Linked DNA regions of Rhinolophus ferrumequinum. The protein of the gene in region 1 purifies or fractionates together with the protein of each later gene. This does not show direct contact. Links are inferred from orthologs where the notes say so. Each region holds a gene or a part of one and is shown in the gene's direction. Other genes may lie near its edges.

Region 1 (7,032 bases):
CTAACAGTATGTAGGGCAATTAAAGGGGTTTCACAGTAACACAGGCTTTGGGTTGCATTACTAAAAATTATAGAATAACACGAACATTAGTTCTCCCAAATAAAATATTTTAGACAGATACATTATATATTTATTGAACACAGAAACAGAGACAAATAAAAGCTAATCACAATTTAGGCTTCATTCCCCTGCTAAAACTGCTTAGTTTATATTAAACTATTTCTTTGTTTCACCTACCATTCCCGGGCGAGCTTCTTATAAGCCTTTTTAATATCAGCCTGACTGGCTGTTCGGCTGACCCCTAGGACTCTGTATGGGTCAAAATCCAACGCAGACAGAATTTGCAGGATCAGAACCAGAACTATCAAGAACTGCCAGGAAATGCTCAACTTTTTCACTTCCATTTCTCTTCCTTTCCAGAGCTGAAATGATTGAAGAGGCAACAAGTTTCAGTGGTAGAAACCTGGAAAGTCTTGCTTTTCCAGGTAAAGGTATAAGATACAGAGATGAAAAACAAAACAAACAAAAGATATTTTGCAGGAAAAGTGTCAAGCTGTTAGACCATATTTAAAAAAAAGCAATAATCTCGCTACTATTTATATCACAAATAGGAACTATTATAGATGAAAAGATGAGCAATAAGAATTAATGGCAACTCTCCAGGATCCTTGGATTAGAAACACTTTAGAAATGACTGAAAATGAACGAGATGAAATAATAAGCGAATGTGGGAAAAAATACATAGGAAAATCAAGGTGACTACATCTCAATCCACTACTTCCTTATTCTGGTGATAGTTTAAACTTAAAATATGAGACTTAAGAATACTTCACTGAATATATGCTAAATACATTCATGCAATCCTAAGATTTACCATGTGCAAAACCACAAAATGAGATAGATAGTTGTGACATTCTTGGGTGTTAAATAAGTACAAATACGAAAGTGAAATGCTCTTTAAAAACTATGCAATTATGATTTAATATGCCCCAATTCTATTCTTTCTTACCTAGTCCATTTGAACAAGACAATGAGAAGGTGATCATTAGCAATATGGTCATTATAAATGGAGGCCTCAGGAAATGCTCAACTTTTTTTTCACTATTTGAGAAAAAGTGGTGAGAAAAAATTTAGTTTTCCACATGAAGGGGAATTAATGGCAAAGACTGTACACCAGACAGACACGGTCTTCAAATATTAAAGCTCCATCTTTGGTGAGTGTAGTGACTGCATGCATTCATTGCGGGTTTTGGAAAGAATCCTGGCTGCTTTAAGAACAAGGTAGTGCTGTATGATTGCCCTGACACACTCCAGGATTATGCTCTTTGTGATGTTATACAAAGTTTTATCAAGGCCCAAATGTATCTTGACTTCTCATAAATCAGTCAAGTTTCAAGGTTCGAGTGTCTATTGTTGATACCTTACTTAAGAGGGTGGGCAAAAGCTGTTAACAGCGGTGGATTTTAACAGGTGGGAGTCTAAATACTGACTGGGAGTCCTCACAAAATTGACTAACCTGATGACCAATGTTTAGGATTGCATGCATGCTGAATAAAATCCCAAAACAAACCAGTTTCTTTGGAAAGGTGACCTATAACCTATTCTAGCCTACAAAAAGGTCCAGCGCGCTAAAAATCCGAAGGTGATGTCGCTACCGGGTAAGCACTTGGGCTCTGGAATCAGACGAAGATTGGGATCCATCCTCCACCACTTTATGACCTTGGGCAAGTTAGTTAAACTTGTTAAGCTTCAGTGTCCTTATTCAAAAAACGGGGGTGAATAATACCATCTTGAAAGGATCAACACGGGGGTTAAATGTATGTAAAGGATTTACTGAGCATAGGGTCAACGGTCAGTAAAGGGTACTTGGTAGTTTTTTTCTGCCGTGCTGTGCAACCACTGCCTTATTCAACTGTGACAGTCGCTTCCAGTTCGTTAGAGGGCCCAAGTGCGGGGTGGGGGCTGTGAAGTTCTTTTGCTGACCGCCTGACGACGCCGGCCCCAGGGCAGAAAACAACCTGCCCAACAGGTAGGCTACCAACCTCAGGCAATATTCCCTAAACTAAGCAGCCGCTGCCGGAGACACACTCTGGGTCTGAGCCCCGCCTCGAACACCCGCCGGAGGTCGCAACCCTCCAGGAGACGGCCGCCTCCTCCGAGAGCCCTTGGCCGGGCCCAGTCGGTTCCCCTTTCCTCCCAGGCCCAGCAGGGACCGGGAACGAGGAGGAACTGAAGGGAGATTCCTGAGCCTGCCCGGTCCCGCCGCGTTCGCGGCTCCGCGCGTCACGCCGGGAAGGAGTTACCGGGAAAGGGCACCAGCCTAAACGGCGGCAGCTTCCGACATCCAGTTAGTCCGCCGGCAGGTAGCCTCTGGTCCACACCAGCGCTCTTCGGAGCCTGGGGAGGGGAAAAGATTGAAGGGAGTCACGTGATACTTAAAGGCCCCGCTCATCAAAGACGCGCACTGAACCGGCTGAGGGCCTCTACTTGCGAATCTATTTTGACCCTTGTTACTCACCGTCTGCGCGTGGACCTGGCGCGGTTGCCATAGGAACGAGGCGCGCTCGTTGGCGGGCCCAAAAGGCATGGTCGTGACCAAAGAGGTCAAAACGTGCCTCCTAGCGAGGCTAAGTCGCGATGCATGATGGGATGCGAAAAAGACCTCCCCGATCCAGGGAGGAGTTTCCAGTCCTACCAGGAGATGGCCCTCGTCTAGCAACGGTTGTTAGGGTGGGGAAGCAATCGTGGGTCTCCGTTCTCTTTAAGCCTATTCATAGAATTCTAGAGCGTCAGAGTTGGAAGGGACCTTAGGGAGCCTTTCTAGTCCAACTCCTCCATATGCTGATGGGGAGACTGAGGCCCAGAGAGGGCAGGGACTTGCCCAAGGCCTAGAATCCAGGACTTCTAAACCCGTTTACCAAAAAGCGAGCTCCACCCTAGAATGTGCCAATCCCTGCCCTTAGCAAGGGAAAGGGATGTGTGTGGTGGGGGCAAAGGGGAGAGGGCACAGGTGTCTGAGGTAAACTTTCATTGAGCCAGAGATAGATTCTTTAGGGATATAAAGAGCTACATTTCATATCGCCCTGCCTTGTATATATGTATGTATGTATGTATTTATTTAGATCTCCTTTGTATTTATCACTAACATACTATATCTTTTATCGTCTGTCTCCTCCTACTGGAATGTAAGCTCCTATGGCAGGGCTGTGTCTGCAGAGAATACCTCTGTATTCTCGAGGCCTGCACAGACGTCGGCACAGGCAAGAACGTAGTAAATATTTGTGGAATAAATGAATGAATGGGGCTGAAGTTTTGCTATTCAAGAGAATACATTTAAGGTGGACTCCCGGTTGAGTGTGGACTTTGAGTTAGATTCGAGTTTACGTCTTGTCCCCCTCTGCCACTTACTACCTCCGTGCTCTTGAACGGTGACTGTCCTTCCTTGAGCCCCAGCATCCACATATATAAAATGGGGGAAAATCCTTCCCTGGTAGGATTGTAGGGATAATGAGATAATGCAATGTAAAGTGGCTAGCATAATGGCTGAGACCTAGCAAATGCTCAACAAACAGGATCAATTACTTCTCAAATGAGCCGTACAAACTGGGAGTTCAGAGGACGAGATTTCTGCCCGTTTTCTGTCTTTGTTTGGGAGGTGCAAGGGTGGGAGGGAGGGAAGAGGGAAATGGAAAACCATGAAGGGTGGGCTGGTTGGATGAGACACACGAATTTGGAACAGTAAACGATAAGATCCGGACACCCGGGTGGAAGGTTTTATTGGGAGCAGGGGTGGCTAGAGGGGAGCCATACCCGGAAGGGGGTTGAATGGGGGCGGGGACAGACTGTGGCTCGAGGCGGGGCTGTCTCTCTTATCAGTAGAGTGACTCAGTCCGAGTCTTGGTAAAAGCGAGTGGTCTTGAATTTTGGCGAGGGGCATGCGTCAGTGACGCGACGGAGTATCTGGGGCGGGGCGTTGACGTGGGGCGGGGCGTTGACGAGTGGGTGGGTACTGGGGGCGGTGCCGCGGGGGTGGGTTCTGGGGGCTGGGCAGGGCTCAGAGGCGGAGCCAAGTGGGCCGGAAGTGGCCTGGCCCGGGCGTTGGACCCTGGGGGTGAGGAAGATTCGCGGGTGGAGCGCAACGCGGTGGCTGGACCCCGGGCGGGTCCTGGGGAGCAGGCTGGGCGCGGTAGCCGTGGCCCGGAAGCGGACGGAGGCGGCCGGTGTCCCCGCCGTCTGCTCGCCATGGACGACGCTGACCGGCAGCTCCTGCGGCGGTGCCGGGTGCGGCTGGTCAGCGAGCTGCAGGTGGCCCCTCTCTGGGACGTTCTGCTGAGCCGCGAGCTCTTCACGCCCGGTATGATCGAGGACATCCAGGTGCGCCCCCATCCAGCCGGCGCCCCCGGCTTCCCGCATCGCGCGCATACTTCTGTTACAGATGGGGACAACGTAACTTAATGGCGGAGCTCCCACGACTTCCTCTCCTTTCTGTACCACCCAGTACCCACCCCTTTTGGGGCACGACTGTGTGGGAACCCCGATTTCCCTCGCGGCGGCGAGCCCACTAAATTGCCCAGCCGACGCAGACAATCCCAGTCGCCTACCTGAGGGCTGGCTAAAGCCATTCCGCGTCCTGCACCGCCAGCGTGCAGTTAGCTGCTGCGGCGTCGTGCTTTTGCCAGCAAGGAGGCATGTGTGTTTTTTCCTCCTCTAGCACCGAGATCCAGGGCGTCAGACTGCCTGGCACCCTGTCCTTGCCCAAGGCACTTGTACTCTGAGCCAGTTTCCTGGGCCGTGAAACGGGGACACCAGTAGTATTGTCCTGAGGGCTCAATGTGATAACGGATGTGAAACAGTGGAGTGTCAGGCACAGAGTAAGGGCACAACATATGATGGTTGGCTGCCCTGTCCTCCTTGGCCAGCGCCTCATATGTTAAGTTTATGTTTTGGAAGGGGTTTTGGAGATGAACGGTTCAGTGCAGGTAATGGAGGGAATAAAGTCAAACCTTGGAGGTTCTCTTTAAAAGCACTTTCATATCTTTGTCTTATTTGACCCTTAACCACAGGCCTGTGAGGTGAGGCAGGTTCCTGGGGGATTTCCTACCATGGGGTGCAGTGGGTGTGTGTGGCTTCCTGGAGGCCCCTGGCCAGTGTCCTGTGGGCTGCTTACAGGCTGGGTGTCCGGTTTCTGCATCACCCAGGAGCTTGGCCTGACCCAGTGAGGAAGTCTTTAACAGGACAAGTGTCGTGTGGAAAAGTAGCAATGACTAATATTAAAAGAAGCCTTTTGAGCCCCTGCTGTGTGGCCTATGCTGAGTGGTGGACATGGTTTGAGACCATATCGTTGCCTTCAGATACGTCCACAGTGGTCACCCGTTCCCATGCCCAATGTGTGGGCACTACAGCAGGCAGTCTCTGCCTTGCCCTCCCGCTCCACTTCCAGCTTCTTCTTTCTTCCTGCTCCTGCCCTGCTCTCTGTCTCTGTTATGTGGCCGGTAGTCAGGTAGGTGGTCACAGTAGCCCTAGCCAAGCCTGCAGCTGGGGAGAACAATCTTGAACCACGTCCCCAGGCCTGTAAGAAATAATACCATCATTGCAGGAGAGAGAAGTGGTCCAGGGCAAGTTGCTAACCACAAGCACATTGATTAAAAGAGCTGTCCTATAGTTGTTAACTTCCCCTCATTATCATGGTAAAAAACGTTCCCCTCTGGTGGAGATTTAAGATGCTACTGAGACATCGGAGTCCCATTGCTCTGGCCTGGCAGCAGGGTTGTACCAGCCTCAATATACTTTGGGGAGGGAGAAGGGAAAGAGGAAGGAATGGCCCCCAACCCCAAGAGCCCATAAAGCCACTGCGCCTATAAACCTGGGTGAGCCACACCCATTCTCTTTCGAGGTGTGCTCCCGCAATGCGGCAAGCTTTTGCTTTAATAAACCTTTTTGTCTGCAAAACTGTTACGCCCACTCTTGATTTCTCTTCCAAGAGGGGCAAGGACCTCTGCACTGGTAACAGTCATGCCAGAATGCTGGGCTGGTGTTGCCAGATTTTCCATGTCTTTAAAGAGAAGCTGGAAATCATGATTTTGAAGTCCAAGTCTCTGACTTTAAATGTCAGTAACAATTCAGAATATTTAAAGAACGCTGGGCGAACAACAGGCCGCCCTTTCACCACACTGGTTTGGCTGATAAACACACAGACTTTGGAACCACGTGGATCCGGGCCCTCATCCTGGCTTTGTTATATATTAACACGTTGCAACACTTTTCTGTGACTCAGTTTCCCTCTTCCTGAAAGTGGGGATCATTGTAATTGAAGGTTGTTGAGGGGAACGAAATAAAACGATGCATGTAACAAGTGTCCGCCTTGTTGTGAGGGTTTAGTAACTGTTGAGAGAAATCAAAACACCACAATCTATTTGTAGAGAAGTAGACATGTACCTAACTGTTTTTCTAGTGAGAATTATCTTCTCAGTGACACTATATACAGGTCTGTGCTGTTCAACATAGTAGCCATTAGCCACATGTGGCTATTTCGATGTAAACCTGAAGTAATTAAGATTAAACAAAATAAAACATTCAGTTCCCCAGTCATAGGACCCAAGTGCTCAGTAGCCGCACGTGGCCGATTGGACAGCCCTCTTGGACTGCACAGATAAAGGGCATTTCCCTCATCTTGAAACGTTCCCTTGGACAGTGCTGCTGTAGGATATTTGAGGACAGGGTGGTGTCTTATTCCTGTGCTTCCTGAGGAACTTGGCCCAGTGCTGGATCTCAAAGGACAGCCAGCAGTTAACCAGCATCTTCTTCCTGCTTCCACCCTGCTCTCTGTCTCAGTGACGGGCCCCACCATCCCCACACCTGTCAATCTTGACCATGACCATTTCTCCTTCTTCACAGGCTACCCAATCAACGGCCACGTCCTGTAGATTCTCCCTCCTTGTTTCTGGTCCGTCCTCTCACTTCTCTATATTCCACCTACACCATTTTTGCTGCCACCTGACCTGGCTGTGGCTTTACTCCCTTTAATAGTCTACC
Region 2 (7,580 bases), on another chromosome or scaffold:
TCTCAGTTAATATCCAAATTCATCACTTATAAGTTCTGCCTTTCGCATAACTGTAGGACACGCCTGTCCTAAGATTCTGCCACTGTCTCACAAAGCTCCTCTTCCTTCTACTTTTCCGAAAACGCGTTCCTCATTTCCTTCTGAGCCTTCACCCACAGTACCTGTAGTTTAGGTTCCATATTTTTACCAACAGTCTACTCAAAGCACTCTAGCTTTTTTCCTATCATTTTCCTTAAAATTCTTCCAGCCTCTTCCCTTTGTGGAATCCCAGTGCCACGTGTAGGTTTTTAAGTATTGATTACAGCAGCACCTCACTTCATGGCACCAAAATCTGTGCTAGCTTCCTATTATTCCTATAACAAACTACCACAAATTTAATGTCTTAAAACAACACAACTTTATTATCTTATAGTTGTGGATGTTAAAAAAGAAAAAAAGATTTTATGGGCTGGAATGAAAGTATTGATAGGACTGTATTTCTTCTGTAGGCTCCAGGAGAGAATCTGAGTTTTACCTTCTCTAGCTTTCAGAGGCTATCTGCCTTTCTTGGTCCATCGTCCCTTCCGGTAATGGACTCACTCTGCTATGACCCCTGCTTTCATTTTCGCATCTCCTTTTCTGACCCTGACTTTCTGTCTCCCTCTTCTGAGAACCCTTGTGATTACATTGGACTCACGGGGATAATCCAGAATAATCTCTGCAATTTATGATTCTTAATTTTATCACATCTGAAAATCCCTATTTCCACATACGGTAACATGTTCACAGGTTGCACGGATTAGGACGTGGGCATCTTTGGAGGGGAGAGGAGGGTGATCATTCTGCTACCACAGATTCTTCATAGGGAGCTGATGCAAGCTCCAAGGTTTCTTCTAAATTAGTACCTTATTGAAGCTCAGATGCGTCCACGATCCAGAGGGAAAAGAGGTTTCTCTGAGTAGTACACCCATGAAAGACAGAAAGCATCTCATTTTTAGAAGCCCCAGAAAATCTCTCCTTTGCTCTGATTAGCTGATGGGTTCAGCTCTGAGTGTATCACCATGATCAGAAAGGTAGGCTGCTCTGCAGGACTAAAGGGACTCAGGACCCACTTTCTCAACTTTGTAGCTAAGAAAATGGAGGAGGAGTTCCCCCAGAGCAAAAGGTGTGATCTGTTACCAAAATAAGGAAGAGTGGATACTGGGCAAACAAACAACAAATAAACGTCAAGTGAAATACACCCCTTCACCCTATGACTGCAGACTCGCCAAGGGCAACGTCTGTATCCTATTTATAGTTGTATATTCCGTATAGATATCACGTAGCCCAAATCTCTAATATAATAATTGCCTTTCTTAAATTAATGACTAAATGGCAAATGTTCACATGATTTGATCTGCAGTGTAGTCAAATTCATAGCCTAACATGTACCATTTGACGAGATGTTACTGTTTTAACAAATACATTTCAAAAACATAATAGAAAGTATCTTTTAAAGTCCGATCATGATATTGGGAGAAGAATAGAAATAGACTAAGGTAATTAATTTTCTGAATTAAGGTTAGACAAGAAATGAAGTTCCATAATGAGGATCTTAAAGGAATTACAGGCTTTTAATTTGACTCACGCTCTTGAACTAATCTCAGAAAATCAATGTTCCTGTTGACCCCTTCCCCAAACATACACATACACAAATAACTTAGGGTACATGTAGTTTGAAGAGATATAATTAATGATTAATTTGCTTTCAGAACTCAAAAGTGTGTCTATTTTTTTTTAACCAGATTAAATCCCATGAGGAATTTAACTCTCAGCACTAAATGAAATACAGACTATGTGAAGAGCATTAATTATTATACTAAACTATTTCCTGTGGCTCCCATTTCTGTCCTCTTCCTATGTGATCTTTTGGTTTCTTTCCCCCCTCCCATCCCCCCCAAAAAAAAGGCTAGGTGGGAAGTGGACCTGACATCTCTGAGAAGAGCCATGAGGGGTGCTGTGTCTCTCAAGTATAAATTGCCACACTGTGAATCAGAAAATACTGAAGCTGTTTCTCGGAGAAGACTCCAAAATCAATCTGGAGTCATCTCCCTCAGAAGAAAGAGAGTGTATTTGGGAAATGAGGACAAGGAACTGACAGAAGCTAGCTGTGGGACCAAATGAGTATCTAAGAGGAAGAGAAGTTGATCTTTTGTAGAGGCTCATTGTTCCGGGGGCAGATGGCCTGATCTACTCAGGGCACAGGGGTCAAGGACCATATTAAAGGGTAACTTAATCATTAGTTGTACTGTGTGAGACCAAGCAGAGTCCATTTAAAGGGATTCGAACAGCACGGACCGTTTTTCCTTCCTACCCTCCCTGTCTTCGTGGACATCCTTGTAGTGATGAGGATTTTATGATTCTCTCAGGAAGAGACTGTGACTCTTTCCTCATACTACACTTTCTAAGACAGTGGTTCTTTCCATTGTTTGGCAGGGGCATGCTTGAACTTATTTTGTGTATCTAATGAAAGCTAAAGAGCATGTGCACAGAAGTCAGTCATTTTTTTCATAAAATTTCAGGATATTCATGAATTCCCTGAAGTCTGTCAGCAGGGGCCTCCCAGGAGGATCAATGGACTCAGTTAGAGAGCCTGCCTCTGGACCCCGAGCCTGTACCTCCAGGGACCTCATCATCAGCTAAAGGAAGCTTGAGTGTTTTGAGAAATTTGGTGGTTACCAGAGAGTTCCATTCGATGCTAAAGGGCACATCCATCTAAGCTACTGTAGGAGGTTTTGATTTGGAGATCCCAGGATCTTCTTATTTTCTTTCCCAAGACAGGAAGAGATAGGCATGACTGAGCATCTGGAAACAGTTGTCCAGTTCTCACATCATGGGGCTTTCCCTGATGATGACTTTATCCTACTTTTTTTTCATGTTTTTCTCCCCTTATTTTTAAGTAACTAATCACATTTTCTTCTCTCAGAAACTGATGAATTTGAGAGAGTGACAAGAAAGTGTGGGGAAGAAAGAGAAAGAGTGAATAGACAATGTAATACAGTGAGGAATGGGGACAACCTGCAGCTGAAATAGCTTCTTAAAAGACAGAACTTTTACCAGAGTGGTGTTTCTATTCATCATCCTTCCTCGCCAAATTCATTTGTTTGTAAGTTCTCTTACTCAGCAAAAATGTATTGGCATGTGCAATATTCCAAATCCTGTGCTAGATCTGTGAGGGGTGCAAAGATGAATGCCATACAGCTCCTTTTAAAGGAGTTTGAAGTCCTACAATGGAGTAAAATATAGAAAGAAAGTCAGCTTATAGGAGCTTTCTGAAAGGGCTTCACTGTTCACTCTTCCTAAATTTCTCTCTCTCTCTCTCTCTCTCTCTCTCTCTCTCTCTCTCTCTCTCTCTCTCTCTCTCTCTCTCTCTCTCAATCCATAATATAAAATTAACAGAATTACATTCACATATTGAGAGCTTTTTTATAGCAGTTTTATAATTAATTTATCTTGTCATGAATATTAAAAAACATAAGATGAACTCCAAAGGTACTAATTTGGAAAATAGATGTCATTTCATGACATAAATATGCTATGTAATCTTTGATAAGAGAAAACCTAGAAAAACCTGAGGGGATTTATTTTTTTCCTAAAGTATTTCAGAAAAAAGAATCACTGTAGTCTCAGGTTTTGTCTGCTTATGTAAACTGAGCCCATGATTCTGATAGAACTGGACTGTCTATCTCAAATCATTTAACAATTTAGAACTCGTTTATTAAATTAATGCATTATTCCATTATGAAAATGGTTTGTGTATACAGTGTAAACTCATGGCATGATAGAAGGGTTTATGCAAGAACGACATGAGAAGCAAGACTGTAAAAAGGATTCCTGTCCAGGCTGAAGTCTAGACAAATAGGGAGTCATTGACACTCTGTAAGAAAAGGCATACGTATGTAAGACTTAAGCTGCTTTTTAAGTGTCATTGACTCGTATGTCAGAGACCTGAAAAGATTTAATTCGGCCTGTACCAAAACTCATTTAACACACCGTTTAAACAACAACAACAACAAAAAAAACCAAAAAAACATTGAAATAGCTTATCCACTAACCATTTCCTCTGTCCTTTTCCCCTTTTTAACTGGGCTAATTTTTGGCCAGTAGCAAAGTTCTTGCCCCTTTGCTGCTAAGCTGTCCTAGGTTTTCCAGTCAAAAATAGTTTCTTGAAGGTTGAGTGTGAAAAGAGAGCTGCAGAACCCCCAGACGCTCACGCAATTCACTGGCTCCATTGACAAAAGTGACTTCCCACGCTTTGCCCACAGAGGGCATCCCTGCTCATTGATATGTAGACCAGGCGAATGCAGCTGCTAGGAGCCTCCTCCGACCGCTCTTTTTTCCCTTCGCCGTCATCCCTCTGCCCCCACCCCCACCCCCTTCCCGTGGAATCTTTGCCTGATCCAGTTCGTTTCCCTCCGGTCTCCACATTTTCCCTTCCAGCCCTCCACTTCTCCGGATCAATGGATAGTACGGCTCCAACTCCCAGCTCACACACCGCTGGCGGACACCCCAGTAACAAGTGAGAGCGCTCCACCAGCAGCCCCCTGCCTCTCCTCCCTCGGTCCCTTCGGCTCTTGGAGGAAAACCGAACAGCACCCCCAGTTCTCGGGGGATTTTTTTTTCTCTTCAACTTTACCCAGCCGAAGACAGGGAACCAGTCTCAACCTTTTAATGCACAGCCCAGCCATAGGATTGTTTTCTGCCTCCTCTTGGTTTCCCCTGGATATTCTGTTTATTGATGACTCCCAAGCCCCGTGGAGAGCTGTCTTCCCTCCTCTTGCGCCGTCTGTTTCCTTGAGTTAGTTTCCCAAGGTTTTTACAGGGGGCTCGGAATCTATTGGACTGAATGGAACTTTTTGCTGCCTCCTTTTGCTGCTGATTTTGTCAGTGGACGCGGAAAAAGGCTTCGGAGGCAGAAGAGGCGCAGGGGAGGTGGAGAAAGAGGTGGAGGAAGAGGACGACGAGGAGGAAGCCGAAGGGGCTCGGCGCGAGTGTGTGCATGTGTGCATGTGTGTGTGTGAGTGCATGTGTGTGAGAGCCGCCGCTGCCCAGGACCCCTGGCCCCGAAGGTGTTGGCTGAAATATGGAGAATAGTCTTGGATGTGTTTGGGTACCCAAGCTGGCTTTTGTACTCTTCGGAGCTACCCTGCTCGGCGCACATCTTCAAGTCACCGGTAAGAGGTTGTTTCCTTTCTTCTCCTCAAACCCCCCACCCCCTACCCCCTTTCCTTTTCCTTCTCATTTCATCTGGCGAGTGGTACAGCTGGGATAGAGGGAGAAAGAGCAAGATGTTAGGAGCTCTGTGCCCCATTTCCTCACCGATGGTAAAAGACAGGAAGACTTTTTTTCCCCCTGGGGGTGGAGGACGTTGGCGGCTGGGGAGTCGGGCGCCCCTCCGCTCTTTTTTAATCTGGTACTCTTGCATCTTAGCTTTCGCAAATACTTGCCTTGATTTGGAGAGCTGGCGGGCTGGGGCGGGGAGGAGGCAGGTGGTGGGATGTCGTTGAAAGGAACAGGGTTGGATCCTTACAGCCTCGGAAACCTACGGATCGGGGCAACAGGGCCAAGCGGAGGTCATGGAGGGGCTCCGAGGAAGTCTGTGCGGAAGGCTGGGCTGAGTCGTTTGCGGCTACAAGCGCCTTCCTTTGGGATTTTTAGACTTGCTGATTGAGAATCGAGAAAGGGACAGCTACTGTGTTTTGGTACTTCGGAGGAGGGGACAGTGGCGCTGAAAAGAGGCGCAGAGTTGTTAGGAAGAAGGAAGCGTGTTTTATTTTATTTTTTAGCGGTGCGTTCAGTTCGCACGCTGTCTCCAGATATCTCCAGGACAGTTCCAAACTCCAAATGACTGATATTCCAGGCAGCCGGCTCCCTGGCTCTGGCGCTTGGCAAGCGCAGTTTTTCTAATTAAAAATGGCAAAAGTGTTTGGGGAAGGGATTGGGTTATAGCAGGAGAAAGAGGGAGCTGAAGGATGCTCGGGCTGCTGCAGTCTCCAAATACGGAACAGGGGCTTCGACGGCTAAAATAATTTAAAAAGAATAAAGAGCCTCATTTTCATGTCCACTCCTTTTGCCGGGCCTCACCACAAATGTAGGTGGGCACTCTGGTACAGGGGTTGGGCCTGGTGGGGAAGCTGTGGAGAACAGCCAGCTGAGCGTTCAGATCCCTTCGGAAGCGACCTTTTCCCAAATCCAAAAGAAAAGGAGCCGCAGGCAGGAGCCAGGCGTTGCTAGGAGGGCCCGAACCAGTGCCTTGGAAATTAATAGGGAATGGAAGGTAAATGACAGCCAAGCCCCCAGCTGCCCCTGAGCCTGAAGCTCTGGCTTTCTTGTTCCTGCTAAATGCTGCATGGCCCAGGGTGGCGAATTCGAGTAGAGAATGTGCCTCTCCAGGTCGCTAGGGATTCAGACAATCAAGCAGGGGACCAGCTGGAGGCTCCCCAAATCCTGGTGCGGGTACCAGCGAACAGGAATCTGCGCATACACGCATACACACAGACCCAGACTCCTCACCTTCCTTGTGTCAGAGCGAGTGAAAGAATGAGTGAGAGAGAGAGAGAGAGAGAGAGAGAGAGAGAGAGAGAGAGAGAGAGAGAGAGAGAGAGAGAGAACACGGGCGCGTGCGCGCGTATGGTGCATGAGTGAGTACCCGCATCCTTGCGCTCAGCGGCCCCTTGCCTTCCTTCCCTCCCTCTCTGGCCAGTCCCCACATCCCGGGCTTCTCTCTCCCGGAGCTTTGTCCTCAGCAATTACTCCCTCCGAAGGAGGGCGGGGGTCATCCCCGAAGTAATGAATAGGTGTCTTTTTAAAATACCCTCCTTGCTACCCACGGAGGCTAGACGCTGCAGCGAAGCATCCAGCCTTCCGCACAGAAGATTGACTTGGGCAGTTTGGGAGACGCCACAGAGGGAAGAGGGGAAGTTCAGAGGGGCATCCCTCGCTGGGTAGAAAGTCTACCAGGTGGGGCTTGAAATGAGTCGGCTGAAAATATTGCACTAGGCACGGTGTGGAAGAATGGACAATGATGTTTTATCAAGTAAACTAAAATATTTTAAAGCCATTTCCCAAGTGACTGTGTCTGATGAAGGCTGGAGGTAAATAAATGGAAACGGTTTTATATATGTTTCACTAATACCTAAATCAATTGAATATCCCTCTTTCCACTTGTTTCTGTCTAGAGCGTTAGGGCCACACAATACTGCTTTATTTTAATTTCCTCTTCAACAGATACGTCTGTGTTTGAAAAGGCAGACAAAAACATGCATATACAGGGAATATGCCTGTGGATAGGCTTGTGGATCTAAATCTTCACGCTTCCCATACTTCTAAATTCATTCTGGTTATTTGCCAATGGATTGTGATGTCGTTTGCACAGGTCCCGGGAAAGTGGATGGTGCTATTTTGAGATACAGTTCATTCAGATGACTCTGGTCTTTGCTCATTAAGAGGTTTCTCCTCTATCTCTTAGTAGCAATTTCCCCTCTTTAGGTACATGGCAGGGAATTGCTGCTGAAGAAAGCAGAGTTCATTCTATGAAAGGACCAGTAGGAGGTGCCCATAAT

The links. The genes of interacting proteins can lie anywhere in the genome.
Region 2: the proteins of CASP9 (region 1) and DCC purify together in Homo sapiens (co-immunoprecipitation; 3 studies listed by BioGRID and IntAct, with this or other methods). This does not show direct contact. The link is inferred for Rhinolophus ferrumequinum from reciprocal best matches to the Homo sapiens genes CASP9 and DCC.

What each region holds. Positions count from the first base shown.
Region 1 is NC_046292.1:10,387,868-10,394,899, reverse strand, and holds the start of CASP9 (caspase-9), read left to right. Parts: upstream 1-4,030; 5' UTR 4,031-4,242; coding exon 4,243-4,374; intron 4,375-7,032. Other genes in the region: DNAJC16 (dnaJ homolog subfamily C member 16), read right to left, coding at 238-404. UniProt on the Homo sapiens protein: Involved in the activation cascade of caspases responsible for apoptosis execution. Binding of caspase-9 to Apaf-1 leads to activation of the protease which then cleaves and activates effector caspases caspase-3 (CASP3) or caspase-7 (CASP7).
Region 2 is NC_046302.1:42,488,507-42,496,086, forward strand, and holds the start of DCC (netrin receptor DCC), read left to right. Parts: upstream 1-4,558; 5' UTR 4,559-5,101; coding exon 5,102-5,192; intron 5,193-7,580. UniProt on the Homo sapiens protein: Receptor for netrin required for axon guidance. Mediates axon attraction of neuronal growth cones in the developing nervous system upon ligand binding. Its association with UNC5 proteins may trigger signaling for axon repulsion.